Canis lupus familiaris: one gene and its partners. The protein of the gene in region 3 purifies or fractionates together with the protein of the main gene of each other region. This does not show direct contact. Links are inferred from orthologs where the notes say so. Each region holds a gene or a part of one and is shown on either strand. Other genes may lie near its edges. The genes, in order: TLE2, PDCL3 and CCT8.

Evidence for each region.
Region 1: the proteins of CCT8 (region 3) and TLE2 purify together in Homo sapiens (affinity purification with mass spectrometry; 3 studies listed by BioGRID and IntAct, with this or other methods). This does not show direct contact. The link is inferred for Canis lupus familiaris from reciprocal best matches to the Homo sapiens genes CCT8 and TLE2.
Region 2: the proteins of CCT8 (region 3) and PDCL3 purify together in Homo sapiens (affinity purification with mass spectrometry; 3 studies listed by BioGRID and IntAct, with this or other methods). This does not show direct contact. The link is inferred for Canis lupus familiaris from reciprocal best matches to the Homo sapiens genes CCT8 and PDCL3.

The regions. Positions count from the first base shown.
Region 1 is NC_049241.1:56,618,928-56,622,573, forward strand, and holds part of TLE2 (transducin-like enhancer protein 2), read left to right. Parts: intron 1-252; exon of another isoform or gene 253-399; intron 400-1,195; coding exon 1,196-1,334; intron 1,335-2,093; coding exon 2,094-2,254; intron 2,255-3,235; coding exon 3,236-3,312; intron 3,313-3,646.
Region 2 is NC_049231.1:43,274,051-43,278,284, forward strand, and holds the start of PDCL3 (phosducin-like protein 3), read right to left. Parts: upstream 2,880-4,234; 5' UTR 2,755-2,879; coding exon 2,749-2,754; intron 660-2,748; coding exon 530-659; intron 1-529. UniProt on the Homo sapiens protein: Acts as a chaperone for the angiogenic VEGF receptor KDR/VEGFR2, increasing its abundance by inhibiting its ubiquitination and degradation.
Region 3 is NC_049252.1:24,605,859-24,609,504, forward strand, and holds part of CCT8 (T-complex protein 1 subunit theta), read right to left. Parts: coding exon 3,646-3,646; intron 3,020-3,645; coding exon 2,940-3,019; intron 1,696-2,939; coding exon 1,546-1,695; intron 1,091-1,545; coding exon 910-1,090; intron 799-909; coding exon 737-798; intron 1-736. UniProt on the Homo sapiens protein: Component of the chaperonin-containing T-complex (TRiC), a molecular chaperone complex that assists the folding of actin, tubulin and other proteins upon ATP hydrolysis.

The DNA of each region.
Region 1 (3,646 bases), on a different chromosome or scaffold from region 3:
TGCTTGCTTAAGTAGGGAGCCCCGGAAATAAGCCCAGTGACCATAGAATCCGGGCCCAGGGCTGACTCCCGCCCTGCAAGTGTTCCGGCCCCTGAGAGGCGCTGGAGGCGCAGCAGCCCCACCTGAGGTCCGGGCAGGAGGATTACTATGGGAACAACTTTCTCCGCGTAGGAAGCGCCCCGGCACCCACGCGGGGCTCCATCTGTCCCGCCCCCTCCCCCAAATCTTCCCGAGGCCCAGCCCGGCACTTACCCACTTACCGGGAGAGGGAGAGGGAGAGGGAGAGGCGGAGAGGGAGAGGCGCCGGTTTCTAGGCCTCCCCTCCCAGCAGGTTGCTATGGCGACGCAGAGGCTGGGGCTCACGTGGCATCTTCTGTGACCTCCTCCACTCCAGGAGGCCGAGGGGGAGGGGCGCCCGCGGCCTCCCTGTCCACGTGGTCCCCACCCACGGCCCTCGTGGGCGCCTGGGCTTGGGGCAGCGAGGCGGGCTTGGGGAGGCGAGGATGGGCGCGAGGTCGGCAAGGTTCCTGGCGGTCGGGGACCCTCAGCAGGAGGACAGGGCGAGGAGCTCCTCCCCAGGTCCGCTTCCCCCCTGCTCAGGTGTCCCCCCCTCCCTGAGAGACACTGCTCCCCAGAAGCAGGGCGGGCGGGCCCCTACTGGGTGCCAGTCCCTCGTCCTGGGTCCCTGTCCTCCTCCCCCGGTGCGGGTCCTCTGTCCTGGGTCCCCGTCCTCCATCCAGGAGCACACCCTGTGCTCTCCCGCCCCACACCCTGCCCCCTTCTGTCGCAGTGTGCCCTCTCCCTGCAGGTGTGCCCCTTGCTCAAGGCCAGTCTACACCCGCACTAGTGACCCTGTAACCCCTAGCCGTGTAACGCACTGCATGCCTTATCATACGCGTGCACGGTTCTGGCAGCAGGTGTGAGTGCCCCTCCCTGCGCCCGCTGTACCCCTGTGGGCGGGTGCTGTGCCCCTTCCTGCCCAGGCGCCCGCCTGCCGCTCCCAGTGTGCGGACCCTCGCGTGTCCCTGACACGGCAGAGGGGCACTAGCGGGGCGCTCCGTGGCACGCAGGCACATCCCGTGAGCCCCAGCCTAGCTCGCATACACCTGCTCCTTCCTCCCACCTGGTTTCTCACCAGAGTGTGGGCAGCAAGGTGCGGGGCACAGGGGTGTTCAGTCCTGACCTTTCTCCCCAGAACGACCTTCCTGCCAGCACCCCCGCCCCCAAGTCCTGCGACTCCTCCCCGCCCCAGGATGCGTCCACCCCCGGGCCCAGCTCAGCCAGTCACCTCCGCCAGCTTGCTGCCAAGCCAGCACCTTGCACCGACAGTGTTGGTGAGCGTGGGCTGGGGCCCGCCAGACCAGGTCTCTTCTCTGGGGGGTTCTAGAAGATGCTAGGGGTGGGGGAGGAGGGAGGCCAGAATCTGGCCCTGGCCTGGCCTTGGCCCTTTCCGGGACTCTGAGCCCAGTGCTGCCTCACTCTGGACCTCGGTCTCCTCAGGGTCTTGGCTTGACAGGTGGGGAGGCCGAGGCCCAGAGAGGCACTGGTTTACTCACGAGCTTTGGCCCTAGTGCACGGGCCGAGAGGCCTTGGGGTCAGACGGCCTGGGGTTTGAGGCCAGCCTCGGGTACTCATCAGCCCCGACTCTGGGCGAGCGACTCAAACTTCCTGAGCCTCAGATTCCCCATCGTTGACGTGGGGGTGACGGTGTTTTCCGTTTCTGTCCTGTGGCCTGGCCCTGGCTGGTTCTGGGGCCCCAGAAAGAATCAGCCCTGGGACCTGCCCTTGAGGAGCTCCCAGGCATGTGTGACCCGGGCTAGCATAGACAGAGGGAAGCAAAATGGGCGGGGGTGGGGGTGGGGAAGCTTGATGATGTTGCTGGACATCGGCCCAGGGTTTTGAAGGGTGAGTAGGAGCTCAGCAACTGAGGAAGGAAAGCCAGAGGGAAAGATTCTCAAACATCTGGAAATATGACACAGTGTGGTGGAGCCTGGACCAGGGCACAGCCACCCCCAGTGAGCGGTCAAGGCCGTGGAAGGCCGGGTCTGGGTCCGGGGGTGTCTGAAGACCTGTCTTTGTCCCTTCGTACTCAGCCCTGAGGAGCCCCCTGACACTGTCCAGTCCGTTCACCACATCCTTCAGCCTGAGCTCCCACAGCGCCCTTAACGGGGACCTCTCTGTGCCCAGCTCCTACGTCAGCCTCCACCTGTCCCCCCAGGTCAGCGGCTCTGTAGTGTATGGACGGTCCCCCATGGTGAGTGCTCGGTGTGGGGGCACCAGGTGCTATCGGCAGGATGCGGGGGGCAGGGGGCCGGGAGGAGAAACCAATCACATAAGGAGAGACAAGGAAATAGGGAAAAGGACGGGAACCCCTGCTTGGCAAGTACATATGCATGTGGGAGGGTGATCCAAGGGTCCCAGGGGCCCACAAGCTGAATACAAAGAAACAACAGTGAGTGTGCTGCACTGTTGGGAGCAGAGAGCCCCCGCCCCAGGGCTGAGGGTCCCCTTCAGACCCCTGGCAGAGGGCGTGCCATTGCTAGTCCTGTTTTCAGGGACTAATGATTCCAGCAGACTGCGGACGAAGGACTAGGCCGGGGAGAGGACGAGAAGTGGGGTCTCAGGAGGAGTGGGAGGAATGGGGCATGAGACCTGTGAGCTGGGGCGCAGGGGGCAGACCCCTGTGGGCCCCAGAGGACAGTATGGGGACAGATGGCTGAAGTGGACCAGGATGCCTCCAGAGGGAAGAAAATGCCGTCGTTGGGGACATCCCGGCCCCCAGGCTGGGTGGCACCTGGGAGGGATGTTGTAGAACGGAGCTCAGCAAGTATTTTCCGCAAGAAGCCAGACAGTAAATAGTTTTGACTTTGGAGACCGGGTTGTCTGTGTCACAGGTCGCAGCTACTCGCTTCTGCCTTCACAGCTCAGAGCCTCCACAGACAACATATAAATGAGTGGGTGTGGCTGTGTGCTAATAAAACTTTATTTACAAAAAGAAGCAGGGGGCCAGAGGTTGCCAACTCTGGGGTTCTAGGTTCCCTGGGCAGGGAGACTTTGGCGGGAGCCTCTGCTCTCCTATCTGCAGTATGGGTGGAGGACAGGGCTCCTCCTGGGGAGGGGCTGGTGAACCGGTGAGGGATCCTCTGATAAACAGAAACACGGCAGGTAGCCTGGGGGAGGGCAGAGGTGGCCTTCAGTCCCCTGCCCTGTGACGCCCCCTCTGGCATTTTGGCAGATGGCATTTGAGTGTCACCCGCATCTCCGAGGGTCGTCCATCACCTCCTCCCTGCCCACTATCCCTGGCGGAAAGCCGTGAGTATTGGCTCGGGGCTCCCGGCCTCCTGTCAGGTGCTTACCTTGTGGGGCGGGGGGCTGGGGTTCCCGGCTGCCTTTCCAGAAGGTCTCTTTGAGGGGCTCTGGAGAGAGGGGTTATGTAACAAGCAAGATGTAGACCATTGCTTTTCAATGGAGGGGCGCCGGGAGGGGGGTTTTGCCTTCCCCACCCCCACCCCAGGACGTTTGGCCTGTCTGGTGATATTTTGGGTTGCCACGCCCACATCCGGCCTCCCGTGGGTTGGGGCCAGCCATCCTGCTGCAGGCCCTGCAGCGCACAGACTGGCCCCGGCCCCAAGTACCCAGGAACTTC
Region 2 (4,234 bases), on a different chromosome or scaffold from region 3:
CCTTATTTTCCCATATTTACTTATGTCTTGTTTATTGTCTGTCTCTCTCACTAGAATGTAAGCCCCATAAGAACAGGGATGTTTTGTCTGGTCTGTATACAGCAAGAGCCCCAGTGCTTAGAATAACACCTGGTAGACAGTCATTATTCAATAAACATTCACTGGATAAATGCTTTCTAGTGAATTCATCTCTAAATTAGCTCTAACATGGAAGAAGACAAAAGTATTGGCCCCTGTGATCAATGGGGCATTAAGTCAAGACTCAGAAATATTTTCTTCAGGATTATCAGGTGCTCATCTGATACAGACAAGAAGCTGTGGAAATGTGGAAATTCTACAGCTCAGGAAGTTGAAGGTTAGAGGACAGCCTGTGACACACTTAAGGTCCCAGAAATAGTGTCTATCCCAGCACTCCAATCCCTGGTTCCCAATTCCTGCTCAGAACATCCTTCTACCAAAGCAGTTAGAGGCTTAAAAAGTTGTTTCTTAATCCACAGACAGAACAAATAAAGAATATAAGCAATCTCACCAACTGACTGCTGAAGGACTCGCTGTTCTTCTTCTTCTGCCTCCTTTTCCAAATCTTTCAAACTTTCCTTTGAGGGCAAGATGCCCTTTTTGCGTAAGATGTCATTCCACTCAGTGTCTGCATTAGGGTCCTGGGGGAAGTGGACCAAAAATACTATGAGTGCAAAGTACACTACAAAGGGTGCCATGTTGGGGAAAGGGTTGAATGGGAAAGGTGGCGGGAAGAGGAATTCAAACCAAATTATTCTGTGGCCTATTTCTGAGAAAGTGTCAAAAGATCCACCAGCCCTGTTCTTTTCCTGTTCATTCAATTTCACCCTCACCATGCAAGACACACACCCAGTAAATAGCCTTTGGTAAAAATCAGGATATGATGTGCAAATCAGTATCAATTCTCACACCAGGACTCTAACCTGGCTTCTATTTGATATTTTTATTAATGCTTCAGAGTGATTCATTCAACATATACTAAATGCTTGTGGCAAGTGTAATGATCAACAAGCTGTCGATCTAGAGAGTTGTAAGAGGTCTGCATTCCACAGAATGGGTAGGGATATTGTCTCAGAAGTAGATATTTAACCATCACTGAAAAGTGAGAAGGAAGCAGACGTGAGGAATGATAACTTAAGAAATTACTTTCCAGGCAGAGGAACCAGCATGTGCAAAGGGCCCAAGAATGGAGATAGGAGTATCGTAAAGTTCTAAGTGGCTCCAGTAGAGTCAGGAGGAGGAGAGCCTGATCCTAGGCTGACAAATTCTCAAACAGCTCAACCTGAGAGGAAGAACGGAGACCCCTTGGAATAGCTCACAATGGCTAACGCCTACTGAGTACCAGGTGCTGGGCACTCTCTGAAGCCCTTTACCTGGACCTACTTAGTAAATCCTCACAAGCCTAGGAAAAGATGTGACATTTAGGAAGACACTGTCATACTGGGACGAGTCAAATTTACCAGGATCAAATGTCAGAAGGATACATGTCAAAGTGGGCTCTAGCTCCCCAAACTAGCGAGTCAAACACTGGTTTTGCCTGGCTTGGCTAGAACACTGCTAATGGACCTGGTCTGGCATAGGAACTCCAAGAGCACTGTGGAGAGAGCACTAAAACAGCCAGGCTGCAGCCCCAACTCCACGTCACTGTCTTGCTGAGATCTATCAAAAGAAAATGAACAGAATCCTTTCAACGGGGTGGTCAGGGAAGGCGCTCAAGAAATGACATTTCAACGCAGGGTTCTAAGGGACAGAGAACGCCAAGGAGGCCAGGGCAGCCCTGGAGCTCTCTCTTCCCCACTCCCGAGTGTCTGGCTTCTGGTAGACACACTCTATTTGTAGACGCTTATCCTGCCCAGCTCCCAAGCAAACCCACACTAACTCCATTTGTCATGTGCCACTTAGCCAGCGAGGATTTCATCAGAATCCCTAACTACAGTGAGGTCTAGGAAGCAGCAGGATGACCTCTGGCAAAGGGTCCTTCGACAAGGGGCAGCATTTAGTCCGAAACTTTTGCTAATTTCCATGATGTCTTCATTTTCTTTCGCTGTAAGTTTGTCCAATTCCATTAGAAAATTTCTGATACGAAAAAAAAAAAAAAAAAGAGGACAAAACTAGGGGGTTTGGTTTTATCTATTTTCAGACAGTAACTGAGAAGGACCTAGGGCTGAGCTGGGAACCGGGGAATCGGAGAGGGGAGCGCACCTCAACCTGCACACCAGCGCGAGGGAGGGAGAGGATGGGACAGATCCCTCACCCGGCTCCGGCTCCGGCTCCCGCTCCGGGTGGGGTCGGGGACACGGGCTGCGACACCGATTACGTCATGGGATCTCCAGGCGGGACCGTTCCCTCATCCGCCTCAGCTTCCACATCCACACAACGGGCCCCTGACACACTTGCTCAGGTGCGAAGAGAATTAACAAACAGGAAGTAACCCTGTCAGGTGGGATGGGCGAGCTGTTCACACACGCCACGGGACGGCCCCAAAAGCCTGAGATTTAGGGGCGAGGCCCACGGGGTGCGGGTAGCCAGCCCGCGGCGCCCGGCGGGACCACGCCCGCCCTCCCGCACTGCGCCTGCGCCTGCGCTCCGCCTAGGCTCGCGTGACCTTTCTTGCGCCGGTGGCGCCCGGCGCTCCCCACGGTCCCAGCCCAGACGGTCTGCCGCTGCCACGGACCCAGCGGGGCAGACGCGCTGCGGCCCCCCCAGGCCTCGGCCCCCCAGGTTCTTTACCTGCATGGTGCCCAAAGTTGGTCACGCCAGGCGGAAGCCGTGTCCCCGCCCCTCAGCTCTCTGCGCATGCGCCCAGCCGCCACCCCCCCCTTCCAGCCCGGCCTTGGCCCCGCCCCCTAGCAGAGAGCAGGGCGGAGCCAGGGAGTCAGCGAGACGTCTGCGCCTGCGCCCGCTGCTCTAGAAACCGGCGCGGAAGCTGTGCGCATGCGCATGGGGTCCTGTCAGTGCGGGGGGGCGGTCCGCTGGCGTCACGTGACCCGGAGCCCCTTCTCTTTGCTACCTTATTAGGGCAGGCCTCGGTCCTTGGAAAGGTGGGGCCAGATGGAGGAGGTGCTCGTTGCGAGGTGTCGTCTGCTGCCTCAGACCCTACCGTTGTAAGGAGGGCTCGGCTCCCGAAGTCAGAAGTAGAAAGGTGTTTCAGTGCGCCAGTGTTACAATTGAAAATGATGCAGGGTCGTCCGGAATTCACTCGCTTATCGTTTCAGCGTCAGATAAGGCAGTTAATTCAGACACATACTTACCAGGAGCCTATGTGCACCAGGCACTAGTCTAGGCTCTGCGGATACGGCGGTGATTACGACAGACAAAAAGGTGAAAGTCATTTCACCTGGTTAAGCCTCAGGCGGCCCATCTTTGCAAGTGTTCGGCCCTGCCCAGGCACACAGGAGGCACCGAGTAAACCAGAAGAATCTAAATTGTAAAAATGCAGGTGCTGGGCTCCAGGCTTCTGGCTACACAGCGCTCCGAATTTGAGTTAAGAAAGTAATCTCACTCCTGGGACAGCTGGGCTGACGTGCGGCCTCAGCAATGAAGCAAACACAGAAGATACACATCCGCACATCTGGGAGTGGGCTCACGACTCCCAACGTCGACCCCCTGGGAGCTTTCAAACACTGCAGTTATGCTGGGGCACCATCCCCAGTCAAAAGAGTTGACTGGAACTGGTATTTTCTTGAAGATCCTCAGGTCTTTGCTGCTAACATGCAAAACCAGGGATACAGAGTGAAAATAAAATGATTCCTTGAAGGCAAGGAGCTTTGGTTTTTATAATTTATAAGGATTCTTAATATTTACCTAACTCCTTACCGCAGAATTACAGGTCTCCTGAAATATTTGTTTATTTATTTATCTGCAGCAAACTGTGAATGCATTGTCCCTTGTCTTACTACCAAAATCAGGAACCAGACTAGTTTGGGGTGAGTTTGGCCCTATGCTAAGCTTTGCAACCTTCCACAGCAATAAAGTGGGTGCTGTTATAGCCTTTCTTCACTCCCAGCCCTATTTCCTCAGAACAGGACTCATCCCCACCTGGTGATTCCTCTCTCCAGAGATTGACAAGCCAAAGGCTCAAACTGCACAACCTCCTCTGTGGAAATGTGTGTCTCCCACTTTTGTCGAAGACTCTTACCTTGCTCTAAGTCACAGTCTCTCCCACCTCCCTAAAGACCCCTGTCCATCATTCCATTCAGCACTCTTGGGTCTGGAA
Region 3 (3,646 bases):
GCTTACAATTTATGGGGGAGGAGGGAGCACGACATGGAGACAGAAAACGCACAGCATCTATAGAAGTACATACAGCAGGTATATTTATACATCTATACAAATACACACAGCAGGTATGTTTACATAAGCTAAACTCAACTGCAATTTTAAGTCTTGCTATAGGAAACACAGCATTTTTATTTATTTTTTTTAAAGATTTTATTTATTCATGAGACACAGAGAGGGAGAGGCAGAGACACAGAGAGAGAAGCAGGCTCCATGCGGGAAGCCCAATGTGGGACTTGATTCCAGGACCCCAGGGTCACGCCCTGAGCCACCTAGGCATCCCGAAACACAGCATTAAAAAAAAAATACTCTTATTTCAATACTAACATTAAGATGTGAATTCTATTATTGTAGAGCAACAGAACTTTATCTCATTTAAAACTGGCTTCTAAGTTTGTTTTAATTTAGCACATATGAAGAATGCAAGACTTATAATTTCCTTCACACACTACTCTCAACCTTCAAGTTGTCACGGAACAATGAGGACTTTATGAGGAGATAACAGATCAACAGTCTTTAATAAAATTTAACCAACTAATATCAAAATGTTACAAATGATACCTCAAAAGGCACAAAGTTCTAAATGTTCAAAACCTGGGGTAAACTAGGTTTAGGTGAACACCAACATTTTTTCTTTTTGTAAAATATAATTGACCTATTTAGACAACACTGACGCATTTTCTCAACTTACCAAAATCTTACAAACTCTGATGTTATCAACATTGAAATGGCCGGAATCAGGAAAAATAGACACTGTTAAGAAAATGAAACCTATCAGAGAATATATTGGGACAACAGAGCAAACATCTTAAGTCTCATTACGACATTTTTATTTTGGAGCTTTTCATCTACTGATATACTCACCACATGCCTGAGCAATAAGCTTGGCCAGAAACACTTCATTACCATACTGTTTACTCATTATGGAGGTGTGAAGCAGTGTAGACACTTCATCAACATCTCGAAGGTTTTTAGCAGAACAACATACTAAATCAGGAAGAATCTCATGGGCTTTTTTGCAGGCTATTTCATAACCTTCTATGACCTTAAATAGAAACAGCAAAAATATTTTTTCAAGACATAACTTTGACATGACTTAAAAAAAAAACAAACTATTTTGGCAACCCTAAGAATATGGGTATTTGTTTTCCACATAAAACGAGAAAGTATACTTTCAGAACAGCAATCATGGCACAGCCCACTAATCAAGAATGCAGGTTTTTATGATGGCCTGAATTTGAATGCTAATGTCACTTGTTAGCTACAAGATTGTAAGATTTTTCTGTTTCCCTTTCCTCATCCAAAATAAAACAATTTTAATAGGCCATATTCAGGGGGTTCTTGTAAGGATAGAGTAAGATACTGCATATAAGGCACATGTACAATAACTGGCACAGAGTAAACTGCTCAACGTTAACTATTCCTACAATGATGATTCCTACAGCACCTGTATAAATAGGCACAAGTTAAACAGGAGTACATTATAAAATGAACACTTGCCTCTGAAACGGACAGGCCAATTCTCAAAAGCTCTTCGGCTAGTTCCAGAAGGGCTCCAGCAAATACCAGGACAAAGTTGGTGCCATCTCCAACCTCTTGCTCTTGCATGTGAGAGGCCATTACAATCATTTTTGCAGCAGGATGCTGTACCTGGTAGAAGGAATTTGAATTTAAATATCAAAACATTTGATACTTAAAGCAACATGAAGTTTTTCATATTCATTTCTTCTTAAATCAACAGACTCCAATCTCCCTGTGGGCTAGGTAACTCCATTCAATCACGATGCTACATATTAATTGTAGTGTGGTCACAAGAAAACAATCCAAATCCCTCTATGATCATCAGCACAGATGCATCAATACAAATGAAAATCTAAAACTGCATCTTTTTTTGATGGTCAGTCATCCACTACGTACATCTCTGCATATAAAGTTCAGAAATTTATTATATGCAAAAATAAAGATTTATTTGAAAGAGAGAGCATGAATGTGTGTGCATACATGAGTGGGGGGAGAGGGACAGAATCCTAAGCAGACAACCCACTGAGCTGGGAGCCCAATCCCATGACCGAGCCGAAATCAAGAGCTGTATGCTTAACCAACTGATCCACCCAGGCACCCTGTTGCTATGGTTTTATTAAAGTAATATTCCCATATTCCCTGAATAACCTCCGATCATCAGTGTCCAACATTAACACTCACAATGACTAGTCCTTCCAGAAACATCTTGTGGAATTAAATTTGTTCACATTTTAAAAAAATACATTGTTATTTAGATAATCAGAGACATGTTAATGTATCTACAGTTTCACTTGAAAAAATTAAGCTCTGATGCTTTAAGAGCTAAGTTCAGGAAAATTCCTTGAAGTTGAAAGTATCTTTCAGCTACAGAGCAGTCAGATGAGGAATGGCTCTCAGATGTTCAGGTGCCAGACCTTTCTCACAACCTTACCAGTAGTTATCTGTTCTAGACTCTTTAACATCAAAACTGCAGGTGAACAAAGCAAAATGCCACCAACTATTTTCACAAAGCCGAAGAAATAGTTTGTATTTTTTTTAAACCACTGTCTTAAATATCAGCTACTTCTGCATTATGGAATTATTCACTTCAGTGTCCTACTCTATAGAACGAGACAACATACTCAATTTGATATAATGAGCAAATGTACTTTTATCACAACCAATCTCTCCATAAATTAATAACTTGGGAGGCTTTCAGATCTAAGTGGTAAGATGTTAAAATTAAAGACTCCATAATTAGGGAAATCTGTATAATAAATATTCAAGTTGAGGGGGGAAAAGTGCCTCATTATCCTAAGAGGTTTCTTCTATGTTAATATATACTTAATTTTTGACATCACCAAAACATTTCTTGCTTCGAAGAAATAACTTACTTCTAGTTCTCTTAAAATAGTGGCTGCATCGTTTGTCACAAACAACTTCTCTAGGTGGTTGATAACCATTTTGTTCATTCCTTAAAGAAAAAAAAAAAAAGGCAGAACAAAGAATCCATTATCACTCAAATCTTTCTCCAAACAACCCAAAAACCTAGTCAAGAAACAGAAGTTTGTATCTAGTTCTTAAAATAACCTTGTAAATATTCAAAACATATTACTTACTCTTTAAAACTACATTAGCCTAAATGCACCTACATATTATTCCTATCCTTTCTAATCTCCTAACATTTACTAAGAAGGATGTCCATCTTATTTTTGCTCAATAAATGTAAATTATGTTAACATGTAGAAAGAACAAAATAATCTACTTAAAAGTAGTTTTACTGCTTTCCATATATGCGTATCAATTAAATTCAGCTGATGGTAGTAGGGAAGAGAGAACTTTCTCCCTTATATTAAGTATCATTCCAAGGCACCAATATGAAAAAAAAGGTAATATTTTGATTCCTGTTTTTCTAGAGAGATCTGAGTTGTTGCTTAAAAACCGCTAACACTCCACTGATGGAAATGAACTATGAAATTACTTCCGTGTGATGGCTAAAAGTCCCAGTTTACGTATATATAATAGTCTCAGAAAAGACTGAAGAAGCTAGTACATAAAATTCTAATAGTGTAGCTCTTAAAACATGAATTTGGAAATTACC